Linked DNA regions of Alligator mississippiensis. The protein of the gene in region 2 interacts with the protein of the main gene of each other region in a pairwise test. Links are inferred from orthologs where the notes say so. Each region holds a gene or a part of one and is shown on either strand. Other genes may lie near its edges.

Region 1 (7,831 bases), on a different chromosome or scaffold from region 2:
GCTCCTCGGCACACAGCAGGGCTGGGGTGCCTCTGTGGCTGGACTGCCTTTCTAGACAACCCAGGCAGGAGTGGTTCCTTCTGGTTGCCACTGCTGGCCCTAGCCCCACAGTACTAGTGGGGACCTGTAAGCACAGCCCCAAAATGGACCACCCCACACCAGCTCCAGATTCACTTGCACTGAGCAGCGGTGGTGGCCAGGCAGAAACTGTTGCTTAGCATGGGGGAAAAACTGCTTAGCCCTTCTTGCTGCAGCAGCTTGGAGACCGCACTGTGCTATCCTGCATCTCCGCTGCTGTCACAGCTGCCTCCAGGCTGCCCAGTGGGGCAGTGCTGGCAGTGCAGACCAGCCACAGTGCAGCCTTGGCATGAGCTCTAGGTGGCTGTAGCAGAGAGCGCCGGGCAGTGGCAAGGGGGAGGGGCTTTTCCCCCCATACTGAGCAACAGTTCCTGCCCTACTGCCACCACTGTGGCTGCTGCTCAGCCTGGGTGGGTGAGTCTGGAGCAGGCACAGGGCAGGCCAGGTTGAGGCTGTGCATGTGGGTCCCCACCAATACCATGAGGCTGGGGCCGGTAGCAGCAGCTAGAAGGAGCCACCACCACCTGCCTAGAAAGGCAATCCAGCCATGGAGCCATCCCAGCCCCACTGCATGCCCAGGGGGTGGCAGGATGTGCCACAGCCGGACAGTGCCTAGGCCAGGCAGGACTGAGGGAACCACCGCAGGCTGGACAAAGACCCTCTAGTCCGTGGGCCCTATTTTGCCCACCCCTGATGTAGAGTGTGTAAAAGTGCAAGTTGCACCAATCAGGAATCAGTGCTGTGAATCCAGGATAATGAGCAAGAGCTGCAGACTTCCAAAGGAAGGGGCCATGTTTCTGGAGGTATATGTTAACCTCATCTCAGCCTTTTTAGAGCAGAAAGGGAGAGCTGCTTTTACAGTTGAAAAGTAGATGGCTTAATATCTGGAAGCTTGCAGCCTCCGAGTAATGTCAGGCAGAAGGCACAGCAGGGAGGTACCATAGAGACTAACTGGTTAAAAAAGGTGTTGTAGGCAACAGTCTGTGAACAGTTAGTTTGTGGTTGAAAAGGGGATGGGGTGGGCAGTCATCATGGGTGTATGCATAACTATTAAGCGTGATTATCCTGCTGCAGACAACTGTGACTGGGCAATGAGCAGGACATAAGAATCCCCTTGCTTCAAAAGCTTCTTAACTGTGGAGGTCAATAAACAGAACAGGTATCCCAGTTCCTTCCTGCCTCTATCCCGAGTTTACAAACTGAAAGGGTTATTTTCCATGCTCATGCAGGCACCGATGGGTTACCCAGAACATTTCACAGACATTAATTCTGGCTGGCCAGGAAAGGTACATAATGCTCACATTTAGAAGAATGCAGAACTTTTTCAAAAGATACGGGCAAAGACATTCTTCCCCAGCAGGTACCTTCGTACTGCTAACGTTGAAATGACAATGGTGTTTCTGGGGTACCCAGCCCACATTTTGCAGCCTTGGCTCATGAAGCCATCCACTAGATACTTGGTGACAAAGAGAAATTAAATTGCCAACAGAAAGCAGGTGCAGGATGGCCATTAAAAATGCTTTTGTTGAAAGCCTGATGGACCTTAGTGGATCCAGTACCCCTGAACTTGCTGCTGCTTGCAGTTGGTCAAACACTGTTTGCAAAGTGCCAGCAGAGTGGCACATGGAAATTGTCAGACTGCTGAATTTGAGCAGCCAGAGAGTGGGGCAGCTAGCTACTGGTGCTTGCCCAGATGCTGTGTGGCTGAGGGAGACCCTAAGGCAACACCTCAGTGTTGTGTCTTGAAGGGCACTACCCCTGCATGCTTTGTAATGAAGGGAACATGAAGGTTTTGTGCATGTGCACAATAAAATGAGGTGCCCTTAACATGTCTGAATGCAGTGAAGCTAAGCACTAATGCATGAAGCTGGTAACAGTACACTTAATATTAAACATATCCAGTAGATGACTGCCCAAACACCTCTCTCATGTAGTTTGAAAGGTTTTGCACCGCTAGAGAAAGTTCAGCATGCCCCTTATCTATCTGTATATATCGATATCTGTATATATAGATATCTATATCATACATACGGACACATATCTATCTCTGAGTGTATATATATATCTATAGATATATCACACACATATCTATCTATATATAACCAATATATAGTCTATGTGTAGCCAACATATAGTCTAACCAAAGTGTGTGTAGATAGATATATATCATAGAACTATAGAATCATAGAAAATTAAGGTTATAGAATCATAGGAAATTAGGGTTGGAAGGGACTTCAGGGAGTCATCTAGCCCAACTATCTGCTCAAAGCAGGACTATCCCCAACTAGATCATCCCAGCCAAGGCTTCGTCTAGCCAGGCTGTAAAGCCCCGCAAGGACGGAGATTCCTCCACCTCTCTGGGTAACCTGTTCCAGTGCTTTACCACCCTCCTAGTGAGAATTTTTTTTCCTAATATCCAACCTAAACCTTTCTTGCTGCAACTTGAGCCCATTGCTCTTGGTTCAGTCATCTGTCACCACTGAGAACAACCCAGCTCCATCCTCTTTGAAACCCTGCTACAGGTAGTTGAAGGCTGCTATTAAATCCCCTCTCAGTCTTCTTTTCTGCAGACTAAATAAGCCCAGTTCCCTCCACCTCTCCTTATAAGTCATGTGCACCAGCCCCTGAACCATTTTTGTTGCCCTTCAGTGCACTCTCCAATTTGTCCACATCCTTTGTGTAGTGGGTGGGGAGGGGCAAAACTGGACATAATACTCTAGATGTGGCCTCACTAGCACAGAGTAGAGGGGAATAATTACTTCCCTTGATCTGCTGGGAATACTCCTACTAATGCAGCTCAGTATGCTGTTAGCCTTCTTGGCAACAAGCAACAAGGGCTCATTGCTGACTTATAATCATCTTATTGTCCACTGTAAGCCCCAGGTCCTTTTCTGCATGCACACACAGTTATGTATCTATCATATACGTACACATTTTTAATATATACACACACTTACAGGTTTCCTTGACTTTATGCTGTACATGCATTCCTGGAAAACAGTGCATAACTCAAATTCACATAAAGGGAACCCACTTCACAATGCAACAAGTAGGGATATGTTCCAAGACCTCGACTGTACTGACTCCCAAATCCATTCCTACCACTTTAAGACAATTTTGGTACTTTCCAACACCAGACGGGTGGCTGCCACTGCGTGCGGCACTTTGTGCCCAGCTGCAGCTGCTCCAGGATCAGTGCTGCTGGCTGCACTGTGCCCCCTGCCCGCCCAGCGGTGGGATGCATGTGATGTTGCGCCGCTCCCGGGGCAGCTGCAGAAGCACGGGCACCAGCTGCCCTGGGCAGCAGGCTTCCATCACACTGATAAGAGTGAATTTACCTCGCCTATAATGAATTTTTAGTATGAAAAGAATCATTGCATAAGAGCAAATTCGCACATACAGAACCTGCATAAAGTAAGGGAAACCTGTATGACATCCTGGCTGGGCCAGCATGGCTACAGCACCACTGACCCAGCTGCAGCAGCTGCCTTGAGGCAAGTACCAGGTGGGGTAGATATGCACCATACAGACTATATACACACACTACATATAGAGTGTGTGTATTGGTTATATATGGCTCGTCTACACGCACGACTTAATGCACACTAGCCTATTTTAATGTACGTTAAGGCATCACAAAAAACACGCTCTTTAGCCTAGTGCACATTAAAATAGGCTCAGGCCCATTTTCCCAGTACCTCACAATGGAGGTACGAGATTTACTACACGTAATCTAAAGTGCATTAACTGAACATGTAGATGCACCCCTAGAGACTAACCGAAGGGTGCATAATGACATCTATCTATCAAGAGCACACACCAAGTGCAGATGCTTCCTCAGCCTGATGAAGGGTATTTAAACCCGACAGCTTGCTAAGAAGAATTTTTCCAACTATTTGAGTTGGTCTAATAAAAGAGATCAGATTTACCCAAAGACCTTTGTCTGCCTGTGTCCTTTGACCAGCATGGCTACAACCTACACCCCTATATCTATCTATCTATCTATCTATCTATCTATCTATCTATCTATCTATCTATCTATCTATCTATCTATCTATCTATCTATCTATCTATCAGGTTTTTGAACCCGAAAGCTTGCTTAATAATTATTCTCCAACCATTTGGGTTGGTCTAATAAAAGATATCAAATTCACCCAAGGAACCTTGTCTGCCTATCTCCTTAGACCAACACGGCTACAACCTACACCCTTGTATCTATCTATCATGCACGTATCTACCAGATATACGTGTGTATCGACACACCCTTAGGTCCGTGTCTGTACAGTGTATACTTGGGCTGTACGTGCGCACACACGCGTGGCCTCCTCGGTGCAGCTGGACCGGGTTTCTCGGGCGCGGCCCCCTGGCGATAGGGGGCGCTCGCGGGACGAAGCCACCTCCCTCCCTTTGTTCGGCGGCGCTGCCCCTTTAAACCCCAGCGCTCGGGCCTCGCCGGCTCGCGCGTGCCGCCATTGGCCGGGCCCAAGCGCCGAGGGGGCCGAGCGCCCCGCTCCCGCGCCGCTCCCATTGGCTGGCGGCGCCGTCCGTCGGGCGCGAGGCTCGCTGACGGTGGGCGGGCGGCGGCGACGCCGCGGTCCCTGGAAGCAGTTCCGGGAAACCCCGCGTGCCGCCGGGGTCGCGCCGCCGTCCATGAGGAGAAGGAGGAGCGCGCGCCATTTGCCGTCGCTGCTTGGGCCCGAGCTGCGCCGCGCAGGCCCCGCTCCCGCTCCGGTGAGTCCCGCGGCGCCGCCGGCGGGGGGGGGCCGAGGCGAGGCGGGCAGGCCCCGCGCAGCAGCGGCGGCGGGGAGGGGCGCGGCCTGGCGCTGGCGGAGGAGGCGGGCCCCGCGCAGCCGCGCCGGGCCTGGAGGCGGCGGGGCCCGGGCCGCCCAGGCCTGGCGGGGTGGGGCAGCGCCCGGCCACGTGGAGCACCGGGCCCGGGGCGCGCGCGTGTGTGCGTGTGGGTGCGCGGGGGGGGCGGGAAGCTTGGCCTCGGTGGCCCCGGCCCCGCGCTCGCAGGCGGCGGAGGAGGACGTGCTTGCTTGTGTGCCCGCCCGCCTCGCTGCGAGCCGCCGGGCCCTGCTCGGGGGGGCTTCGCGCTTTTGCGGGGCCTCCCCAGCCTCCTCCCAGGAAAGTCTGGCAGCCGCGATGTTTTGCGCGGCAGGAAATACCCGGCCGCGAGGATCGGCCTCTCCCGCCGGCCGCGCCGAGCGATTCCCGGTGCCTTAGCGCCCGCGCAAGCGCTGGGGGGAGCCGCTTTCCGCTGCTCAGCTCAGCTCAGCCCGCCTGGGATGCGACTGGCTTTTTTGCTTTGCTTCCCCATCATTTTTTTTTATTATTATTTTTGCAGATCTATCTGCAAAACTTGTTGATTTTAAAAGCGGGAATTTAATATCCATGTCCCTCTGTTACATGTGGAGCTTGATGATCTGTCTTGCAAAGCAGTTTTTGTTCTTTTTCTTTTTTGCGGGGAAGCTCACGTGTTAAATAAATGTATCTTGGCACCCGTGCTGTGTGGAGTAGGTAGAAGAGGCATTGAGACATTCAAATGAATGAATGTTAAGACCCCTCTGCAGGGTCGCTTTGAATTATCCCTCAGACATTGCCCCACACATGCTTACAAGCCACCCCAGTGCTTAATTTGAGTGAACTGGCAGCATATCGAGTTCATCTACCACTGGTCAGGTTAATATAATACCATCACTTTGTGCAGTGATCTAATTGCGCTGACCACCTACAGCGCTAGTATAGCTGCTAACTGACTGCCGTGAAATCGTGGTAGGAGTGTCTAAGGCCATGACAGGCAGCGTTGGGTACCTTCATTAGTGTCTTCTATGTAGTTTTCAGCCTGAGAGCTGTGCCCATCTTTCTGTATGCCAAGAATGGGAATTGAGATCCCCCAAACTTTCTAGTACATGTTGTGATTTAAGTCTAAGAATTACTGTGTTGGAGGGGTGAGGGTGTAAAATACTCATTAACAGTAGCACATGCTGTAGTAGAAATCAAATTGAGAAAGATTGAGATTAGTAGAGGCAGTATCTTCCCAATAAAAACTTGACCAACCTTGTGCTGTGTTCATAACTATGAACCAGTGAATATTTTGTAGCGTGTTTTTTAAGTAAGTTCTAAATAAGACCAAGTTACGGTTGTTTTTACTACACCACAGTTTACTTGTATGAGAGAAACAGTTGTAATATACCTTCTTTCAAAACTTGAATGAATCTCATTAGTGACTGGAAGGTCCTTCAGTAATCATGTCAGAGTTCAGCTTCCCATTATAACCCCTTGTCTCCCCTCATTCATAACTTCCTTATTTTTTCCTTTTTGGTTTGAGACGTACTGTGGCTTTAGACTAAAAGTAGTTCTTTTGCGTGGTATCAGATTGTCTTGCTGTGCTCCAGGGATGCTGGGAAGGGGAGCTACAAGCTTAAAACAACTACTTTTGATGCATTAATAATGTAAATGGTTGGCATTCAGTATTTTAACTGTCCTACTTTTAGACCTCCAAGTTATCTGCAAAGAATATTAAAACCAGAATCGGGCTCAGAGTCCAAATTCTGTAGAACTTTTTAGTTATATCTGTTGCATGTTCAAGTTGACTATGTCCACTTCTGCTCCATGGTGGTCAAACTATAGCTAAATAGCAGTCCAGAGAAGTCTATTTTCAGCTGCCATACTTTCTTTTGATTTGTCATGTTAATAGAAAGCATCTATGGGGGAAAACATGGAGGCTTGACCATTTTGATTTTTTTTTTATTGTTTCTTTAAAATAAAAGCATTTTCCAGGTAATTCAAAACCAGATTAAATTTGACCTCCTAGTTTGTGTGAGTAGAACCTCATGAGAGCTAGTTATTACAGTAACACATTGTGAGACAGGGTATGGGCAGGATACCCAATTAAAAATACAAAGTAGTTGGAAGTATACTTTAATAGTATAAAGTTCCTGTTGTCTTCAGTTGTGTAGCTGGGAGTTGCAATATGGAGTTTTTAGTAACACATCTGACTGCACTTCCACATGGTCTTATTAGTATTCCAGGAACAATCCCCACACACAATATATATACTGATAATCAGTAACTGCTTTCAGGAGGTACATCTTCATGTGCACCTTCTGAATTCATCTCTTTCTGGACACTACATATATATGTATATCTTTCACCTGAGACTTTTGCACACATCTGGGGCAAAACAATTCACTAACCCTCTGAAATTAGGCATAGTTCTGTGCCTGCACATGAAGGTTACACTATCCAAATTTACTTGAATGCAGTGCTTTTTATTTATGACAGGTCAGAAGTTGAGCCATATCAGATACCACATACAACATCTATATACACTTACCTGATTTTGTGGTCATCTTTTTAGTGTTGCATACTTTTAAATATTAAATCTTTGAAGTTCATTTCAAGTATGGAAAGGGAAAGCAAAGGTATTCCTTAATCAGACTCTTTTTTTTTTGTGCATTCAGTTGTGTGTTGTTTTTGGTGGCAAAGTATCTTACTAGATTTTATCCCTAGTTGTCCCACGTAGCGCACACTGCTAAGGAAGGAAGACTAGGTATTTTCTTTCTCTCTTTCTCCTCCTCCCCCACTCCCCCATCACTGTAATTCTTGTATTTCAGTTATACATATGCAACCCAGTTAGAGAAAATGAGGTTTACAAAAAATAGTAGATCGGAGGAAATGTATTCTATTTGCAGATAGAAATATTTTCTTGAAATAACTGAGCCATGAATATTCTCCACATCCATAGTAT
Region 2 (8,439 bases):
TCCTCACCCCTCCCCCCGGTCCTGCGAACCGGCAGAAAGTCACGGGGCGTGGTCTGGGTAGGCCCCGCCCCCTCGCATAGCCACCCCCCCCCGTTTGGCGGAGGAGAGGGTGGGGCGCATGCGCAGTGGCCAGGTCCAGAAGTTTGAGTCCCCTTTTGGATGTAGGGGGGAACGCAGGTCCCGGCCGCTGCGGAGCTTTCCCCCCCCCCCCCTCGGGCAGGGTGAGGGGCGGCGGGGGGGACTTGGGGGCAGCTGGGTTAGGGACATTGCCCCCATGCACTGCCACTCCAAGCAAGGCTCCCAGCTCTGCTCCCCTAGGTGTCCCGGGACACCTGGGTTCAGTGGGTCCCCCCCAGGTGCTCCCGCACGGGGACACGGGCAGGCCCCTTGTGCTCCCGTGCTCAGCCCTGCCTGCTCCCCCCCCACAGGCTGGGCCATGGCGGGGGCCCCAGCGCCACCCCGTCCGCGGTGCCGAGTGCAGGCCGAAACCCGGCTGGTGCTGGAGGCATTTCTGCAGGGCCGGGGAGGCGCGGGGGCCCCCGGGCATGTGGGGCGCAGCTACCACGACCCCCAGCGCTACGCACACAGGTGAGGGGACACGGGGGGGGGGTCTGGGGCCGGGGCTAGGAAACCTCGGGGGTCTTTAGAGGCGGGTGATGGAGGGCAAACCCAGGAGCCGGGCAGGGGACTGTGGGGGGTGGAACTATGGTATAGGGGGCTCTGCAGGGAGTGTATTATGGGGGGCTCTACAGGGGCTGGGACCCTAGAGGCACCTTGGTGGTGGGTGAGGGGGGCTCTGAGCAGATCTGCAGGGGCAGGGGGGACCCTAGGAGCATCCACAGCAGTCTGAGGGGGGGCCCATGGGTATGCACTGAGGTTGGGGGAGTGGAGGAAGCCCTACAGGTATAGGGGTATATGGGGTAGCTGGGGGGGGGGGCACAGAGTTATGGGGGTGTATACGAGTAGCTATGGGGCACAGGGCTGTGTGGGTGTGTAGGGTAGCTGAGGGGAACAGGGCTATGGGGGGCCCTAGAAGTCTAGGGGTATATAGATGTAGTAGGGGGTGGGAACAGGGTTGTGGGGGGAACCCTAGAGGTATAGGAGTGTATAGGAATAGCTGCGGGGTTTATAGATTTATGGGGAGCCTCAGAGGTATGGGGGTGTATAAAGATAGCTGGGAGGACACAAAGGTATGGAAGGACCTTAAAGGTGTGGGGGGCCCTAGGGCTGTGGTTATGTTTGGGGTAGGTGGGGGGCATAGTCATATGGGGGGCCCTAGAGGTATAGGGGTAGCTGGGGGGCACAGGGCTATGGAGGTAGCTAGGGGTGTGGGGGTATATGGGGGCACAGAACCATTGGGGCATGGAAAGGTAGCTGGGGGGCACAGGGCTATGGGGGTGTATAGGGGTAGCGGGGAATATGGGGCAGCTGGGGGGCACAGTTACGGGGTGTATAAGTGTAGCTGGCAAGCATGGGAATAGCTGGGGGAGGCACAGCTATGGGGGAGTGTGGGGATGCCAGGCGTGTCCACAGGGATGGAGGGGAGCTGGGAGGGGTCTCTGGGAAGACTGGCCATGCCCATACCCCCCAGGCCCCTGCCAGAACAAGCCAGCACTCCCGGGGGGTCCCTGCGCCCTGGCTCCTGGACCCCCCTGCACGAGGACATCAACCGGGTGGAAGAGCGCAAGCACGGCTTCAAAACCAGCGTGAAGAAGCTGCTGCAGCGTCGGGCCAGCCCCCGTCACAGCCCCCCTGGCCCCCTGCCTGCCCGTGGAGACTCCCTCAAGAGGCAGAAGGGGGGCGAGGGGGAGGAGGGGGGGCGCCGTCGGTACCCCCGCTCCTTCTCCTTCAAGGGGTTGCTGCGGAGGAAGGGCCTGGCCCGAGAGGAGCAGGATCCCCATCCCCCCCCATCCCCCTCCTCGCTGCGCCCCACCTCCCTGCCTGTCACCCCCTGCTACTGCACGGACCTCCCTGCACTGGGACAGCAGGATCCCACGGCACAAGGTAAGGGGCCCCAGAGACACTGGCCAGGAGGAAACCCAGGTGTCCTAAGGCTCTAGGTCCTGTTCCTCTCAGAGTAGGGAGAAAACCCAGGCATCTGGGGAGTCCCTGGTGCCCTGACCAAACCCACCCAATGTGGACCCAATGTGCTACCCAGAGCTAGGAGGGAACCCAGGTGTCCTGGCTCCCATCCCCCCTCCCCCGTCTAACCTACCAGAACTCACTCAGCCCCCCAGAGCCCCTACACTACATCATTGTGCTTTCTGGGAGCTGGGGGAAGAACCCTAGACACCCTGGCTACCAGCCCCAACTTTATCTCACCAGACCCCACTCACATCCTAGAACTAGGAGAGGACCCCCATGCTCTCCGCAAGCTGGTGGGAGAGTCCAGATGTCCTCGCCCACAGCCCCCTGCTCTAAACAGCTCTGCCCCCCAGGCCAGCCACCGCAGGACCCTGCTCTCTATGCCCAGGCAGCCCAGAAGCTGGACAAACTGCTGAAGCAGCAGCAGCTGAATAGCCCTGGGAGCGCTAATGGGGCTCCCTCCCCCAGGCTGGGGGCCAGGACCCCCGGTGTCCAGCTGGGCATCAGGCACTCAGGTAAGCTGCTACCTGGGGCAGGGGCTCCCTGCCCTCTGGCGGAAGCCAAGTGCTCACAGGCCTGTCTTTGCCTCCAGCTCCGACAGACCACTCCTCGGAGACTGCCAGCGAGCAGCACAGGGAGCAGGTGATCCAGAGACTCATCAGCCTCCTGGAAGAGCAGGCTGAGGACATCAATCGGGAGGTACTGGCCTAAGCCCCTGCACTTGTCAGCCAGTGCCCCTCACTCCTGACCTGCAGCCCCCTGTGCCTTCCCTGGTGCTCCTCCTGCCCCACAGACTGCCCCCACCCCATGCCACTCAAGCCCAACCTCCACAAACCCAGCACAGGGCCCCTCCCCAGCCCTGTCAGTTTTCCCACACCTGAAGCCCCCTACTTCCCCCAAGTCCTAAGAGCCACTGTTATGCCCTCCCTGCAATCCTTTTCCCTAGCCCTGACAATTCCCCTCACTCCTGACCCACAGCCCCCTTTGCCCTCCCCCAGTGCCCCTTACTCTGGACCTGCAACCCCTGCTCCCCCCCTGCCCAGCCAGTGCCCCTCATTCCCAGCCTATAGGACCGTGCCTCCTCCAGGCCCTCGCTCCCGAACCGTATCCCCCTGCCCCCCCCCCAGCCCTGCTGATGCTATGACATTTCCCCTCACCCGCAGATGGAGACAGACCCCGTGCTGCGCAGCACCTTGTCCCGCATGTCCTTCCACGGCTTCTCCCAGCTGGCCGAGGCCTTCGCCGCCCGTGCGCCCCCCAGCAGCCCCAGCCCCCAGCTCACGCGCCTGGCACTCACTATGGAGCTGACCCGGAGAGTGGCTGGGATCAGCAACCATGCGGTGCAGACCCTCATGGGCTACAGCCTCCAGTACATGGAGCTCTTCGTGCCCTGGCTCCAACAGCAGGGCGGCTGGGTAGGGGGGCCAGGCCGGCCTGGGGAGGGGGCTTTGTGATGGGGTGGGATTTACATGGGGGACTGGTAGGGGATGGGAATTATGTGGGGAGGAGGGATCGCCGTGCCAGGGAAGGGGCAGCTGGGTTGGGCTGGGGAGACCAGGGGCCATAGGTTAAAGGGACACTTGGTCAGAGGGGATTGGGTGTGGTGGCCACATGGGGGGAGGCGGGGGGAAACTGTATGAACTAGGGGGCCAGGCTACAGTGGACATGGAAGGAATCTAGGGGCTGTCTGTGGGCCATGCTTGGGGTGGGAGCTGTTGGTCTATCTGGGCTGGGCCTCCCCCCTACAAGCCTCCTCCCCACCCCACAGGAGAGCATCGTGGGACAGGATGAGCTCTTCGACCTCCAGCTCGACTAGGGGGAGGAGGCAGGATGCAAGTTGGGTTGGGGGGAGGGGAGCTGGCCATCCACCCCCCAGAAGCCACCGTGATGGGGTGGCCCCCTATCTATGGGGAGGCCCCCTGGCATTCTCAGGGTACATCCAGCTGGAGGGGACCCCAAAACAGATACCTTCCCTGGGGCCATGGAGGGCCCATTGTGACCTCTTATTAAACATTTAAAAAATATTTTTAACAAAGTTCTTGATTGCTCCGGACCCTTCTTGTCCCACCTGCATCCCTCCATGGGGAAGCAGCAGGGCAGCTGCAGCCACTTCTGGGGAGGGAGTATTGTATTGGACCTCCCCCCCCGGCCTGGGGCTGCGATGCACCTGTGGGAGGGATGGCAAGGGGTCCCCCAGGGTGGGGGGGCAGAGGGGTAGCGGAGGAAGAGCGTGAAAGCATGGTATTCGCTACCTACAGAGGGGAGTGGGGGCTGGGGCTGTACCTGACAGGCATACTCTTGAACATTTCAGCGTGGGGGGGCGACCCCAGGCACGGAGAGCGCCTAGCCGATTGGTTGCATTCTCCCCAGCGGCTTACCAATGAGTTTGTTACTAGGGCCTCGGTTAGGGTTGAGGGGGCGGGGCCAGTTTTTGACTGGCAAGGCGACTGGCCAATGGCTGCGGTGGCGGGAGTGGGGGCTAGAGTGACGTATCAGGTCACCAATGGGATCGCAGGTTCAATGGGGGGGGTAGGTCCCCGTTAACGACTAGCTCCCAGCCTCTGCCAATGTAATGTTTCACTACGTTTGAGCGACATTACCGCCGCCCACTACAACAGCCACTTGACTGAGGGGGGTGGGACGCGAGCGACTGCTGTTTGCCTCTACCAATGAGAAGTTCCACTCACCGTGAGCGACATCGCTGCTGTCCAATAGAGCCACAGCCTGTGTGAGGGGCGTTGTGAGTGACATTCATCTCGTCCAATAGCCTTCGACCTACACGAAGGGGCCGCGACGGCGAAGCTGAGTGACATCTCCCTCCCTCAACGCCGCTAAAGGGGGCAGGGGCAAAGCCTCACGGTCTCCTCCAATAGCAGTGCCCCTTTGCCTGTGAGGGTGGGGCCCGCACGTTGAGCGACATCTCCGCGACCCAATGGTGGGGACCGCGGCGCGGAGCGGCCAATTGGGGTGGCGGAGGGCGGGCCCGGGCCCTCCCCCGCTATAAGGCCCAAGGGGTGGGGGGAGGGGTACTTGCTCTCCCCGGGCTTCGCACGCAAGATGGCGGAGGCCGCCAACTGCATCATGGAGGTGCGGGCGGGGGGCGCGGGCGCGCGCGGGGCTCCCGGGGGCCGTAGTTGGGGGGGGGTCCAGCCGTGCTGGCCCTCCCCCGCGTGGGGGTGGGGCCGCGGGGGTCCCACGTGGCCCGGGAACAAAGGAGGGGGCGGGGCCCCACGCCCCTCCCCCACCCGGGACCCCCGCGTGGGGCTGGGGGCCGGTGGGGGGCACGGCCCTTTCCCCTTCTTCCCGGTGCCCCGGGCCCACGTGGGGCTGAGCCGCGCGGGCACGTGGCCGGGCCAGGCGGGGGGGTCCATGGGTTTCTCTAGGGCACGTGGCGGGGGACGGCGGATCGCTATTGGGGGTAGGATCAGGGACTCCTTGTGGGGCCAGGCCGGGCGGGCAGGAGCAGGAGGACGTGGCCCGCGGGTGGGATCAGTGTGTTCCTGGGGGGGACAGCATCCAAGGTTCCATCTGGGGGACGTGGCCGGGGGCGGGGGCAGGATCAGGAGGTCGCTAGACGGTTTGGAATAGGAGCAGGAGGTCCCCTTAGGAGACTTCACTGACCCACCCCCCCCCACCTCCCCCGATTGGTTGGTATTGCTGGGAGCTTAGGGGCAAGTTCCCTGGGTCCCTCTAGGAGACGAGGCCTGCCGGGAAGAATCTGTGGGTCGTTACTGGGGGGTCAGGTCAGCCCATCTGTAGGGGACGTGGCAAGAGTAGATTTAGTTGGGTTTTTATTTTGGGGGGGGTTGGGGAGGGCTAGGATCAGCAGGTGTCTGTTATGGGAGGGTGGGGGGCACAAGCCAAGGGGTAGGATCAGTGTGTCCTGGGTCGGGGCGTGCGTGTGCGTGTGTGCGCGTGTGGGAGGCGAGGACAGGAACTGCTCCCTCCCCCTGAGCCTGTCTTCCCATCTTCCACCATCCAGCCCATACCACCTCCCCACCCCCCCTCCAGCTGCCAGGCAGGGGTCCCCTGGCCCTGCCCCCACCAGCCCTGGGCGCTCGGCGCTGACTTTCTCCCTTGCTTTCTCCTAGACGTTTGTCACCACGCTGGCTAACGGGATGAGCCTGCGGACTGCGCTAGAAGATGTAAATATCCTTTCAGTGCGTGGGCCCAGCCAGCCCCCCACCCCCAAATCCCAACTACCACCTTCCCCAGGGGAGGGGATCCCTGCACTCCCCTTGTCCCCATAGTCATACCCTGTCACTACTCCTACAGACCCTTTCTTGTGTCCCACAAATTGTCAAGGTCCCGTGTCATGTCCCGTCCCTCCCCCCCCCCCCCCAACGCGCGACAGACAGACAGTGGCCCTGTCCTCTAGACTTACGGGAGTCAGGAGCCTGGGTGCGTCCCAGCCTCGTGTCCCTTGTGTTCAGGGTCCCATTGCTCAACCCCATCCCCTTTTCCCCCTTCCCTCTCCCCTATGTAGGATGGGAGTGAGGAGCTGGTCAGTGCTGGGGTGGGGGTCTTGCAGGGACAGGCGGTGTTTGTGTGCATGTGTGTGCATGTGGCAAGGAGCCTGGAGCCCAAGCAGGAGCTGCAGGGGGTGAGGCAGGGGTGGCATAGACCCCAGTAGCCTGTATCAGGGGTGGGGGGGACCTCATGGTGTAACAGAAACCCTCACAACATGTAGAGGGAGTTGGGGGGGTGGGGCTTGGTGCAGAGTCCTGCACTGTGGCTAAAGAGGGTCTGTGTAGACTAGTGGGCATAGGAGTGACCCTGCTGGTTGTGGGGGAGACAGCGGAGCGGCCAAGATCAGGCCCCATATAGAGGTTGTGGAGAATTAAGGGAGTTGGGGCTGGGGGGAGGGAAATCCTTGCTCCTTCTAGGGCAGGGGTGGGCAAAATGCGGCCCGCCAGGCCAGTTTATCTGGCCCATGGGGCCCTAAAAATTTAGAAAATCAATATTGATCTTCTCCTGGCTGCCTGTCATGCGGCCCTTGATGGCTTGCCAAAACTCACTAAGCAGCCCTCTGCCCAAAATAATCGCTCGTCCCTGTTCTAGGGGCTGTATTCATTTCTCATTCATAAATTTCCTTAATGTTGCCCTCCTCACCTGCCCCCGCCCCTGGTTCAGCACCCCTGCTGGGGTGGGGGTTCCCCCAGGGGTATTCGGTGCACCCAGGAGTTGGGGTGGGGGGCTAGCAGCACTGAGTCGGGGGTGGGGGTGGAATTTAGGTGGGCCCTGCCCTAGGTCCTTACTGCTACAGCTCCTTCCCTCCCCAGTCTCTGGGGCCAGGGACATTAGGCTGTAGCCAGTGGGGACCCCAGGGTGGGGGGGACAGTGGAGCTCCCCCAAAGCAGTGCCCCAGGGGGCCGGCTGGTGGGACCTGGTGGCAGCAAGGACAAGTTCAGGGCCAAGTCTGTGAGGTGGTGGGGGGTAACTGCCCCTTCCCGCTCCTTTCTAGGGAGACACACAAGGTGCAGAGATCCCCAGAGTGGGCTCTGCTGTGGGTCTGATGGGCACAGCAGGGGAAGGGGACCCAGCCCCACTCTGGTGCGTTGGGGGGGGTATGTGGGACTAGTTGTGCTTGCAGGGCTGACTGGGGGGGTGGAATGTATACTACAGGTTGGCAGGACCTGTGGCTCTGTGGGGTATATGGGGCTGGCTGGGCCTTGTGGGTCTGTTGGGGGGCATGACTAGTATGTACAGGTTGGGTTGGCCCATGGGAGTAAGGTGTGGGCAAGGCAGTGGCTGGGCACGTGCCAGCCATGGGGCCTCAGCCCTGGTTGTGACCACAAGCACGCAGCCTTGGTGCATACGTCTGATCGCTCCTACCCCTCCTGCAGGTTTCGTGCACCCAGCCTGAGGGCAGTGGGAAGCCCCCGGCTGAGGAGATGACATCCAAGGACTACTACTTCGACTCCTATGCCCACTTTGGCATCCACGAGGTCTGGGCGGGGCCCTGGGGTGGAGGTTGGAGGGGGAGGGGTGCCCACTCCAGGTGATGCTGGAGGACTGATAGGGGTGGGGGCTAGAGTGGCTTTCCAGTACTGCCTCCCTGGAGGAGGGGGCGTTGGGCAGTCTCAGGGCTCTCCCTGCTGATCCCCCTTGCCCCCAGGAGATGCTGAAGGATGAGGTTCGCACCCTGACCTACAGGAACTCCATGTTCCACAACCGGCACCTCTTCAAGGACAAAGTAGTCTTGGATGTGGGCAGTGGCACTGGCATTCTCTGCATGTTTGCTGCCAAAGCAGGGGCTAAGCGTGTCATTGGGGTGAGTGTGATCCCTCCAAGGGAGTGCAAGGGGGGGGAAGAAAGCCAGGCCTCAGCTGACCCCCACCTCCCCGCCTTCCC

What was found. The genes of interacting proteins can lie anywhere in the genome.
Region 1: the proteins of PRMT1 (region 2) and HNRNPR interact in binary tests that used the Homo sapiens proteins (3 or more experiments, as listed by UniProt). The link is inferred for Alligator mississippiensis from reciprocal best matches to the Homo sapiens genes PRMT1 and HNRNPR.

The regions. Positions count from the first base shown.
Region 1 is NC_081829.1:9,933,671-9,941,501, reverse strand, and holds the start of HNRNPR (heterogeneous nuclear ribonucleoprotein R), read left to right. Parts: upstream 1-4,672; 5' UTR 4,673-4,728; coding exon 4,729-4,809; intron 4,810-7,831. UniProt on the Homo sapiens protein: Component of ribonucleosomes, which are complexes of at least 20 other different heterogeneous nuclear ribonucleoproteins (hnRNP). hnRNP play an important role in processing of precursor mRNA in the nucleus.
Region 2 is NC_081828.1:40,022,025-40,030,463, reverse strand, and holds the start of PRMT1 (protein arginine N-methyltransferase 1), read left to right. Parts: upstream 1-5,089; 5' UTR 5,090-5,142; coding exon 5,143-5,172; intron 5,173-6,176; coding exon 6,177-6,230; intron 6,231-7,931; coding exon 7,932-8,033; intron 8,034-8,203; coding exon 8,204-8,359; intron 8,360-8,439. Other genes in the region: BCL2L12 (bcl-2-like protein 12), read left to right, coding at 275-588, 1,592-2,004, 2,439-2,600, 2,678-2,784, 3,249-3,454, 3,854-4,103. UniProt on the Homo sapiens protein: Arginine methyltransferase that methylates (mono and asymmetric dimethylation) the guanidino nitrogens of arginyl residues present in proteins such as ESR1, histone H2, H3 and H4, FMR1, ILF3, HNRNPA1, HNRNPD, NFATC2IP, SUPT5H, TAF15, EWS, HABP4, SERBP1, RBM15, FOXO1, CHTOP, MAP3K5/ASK1, MICU1 and NPRL2.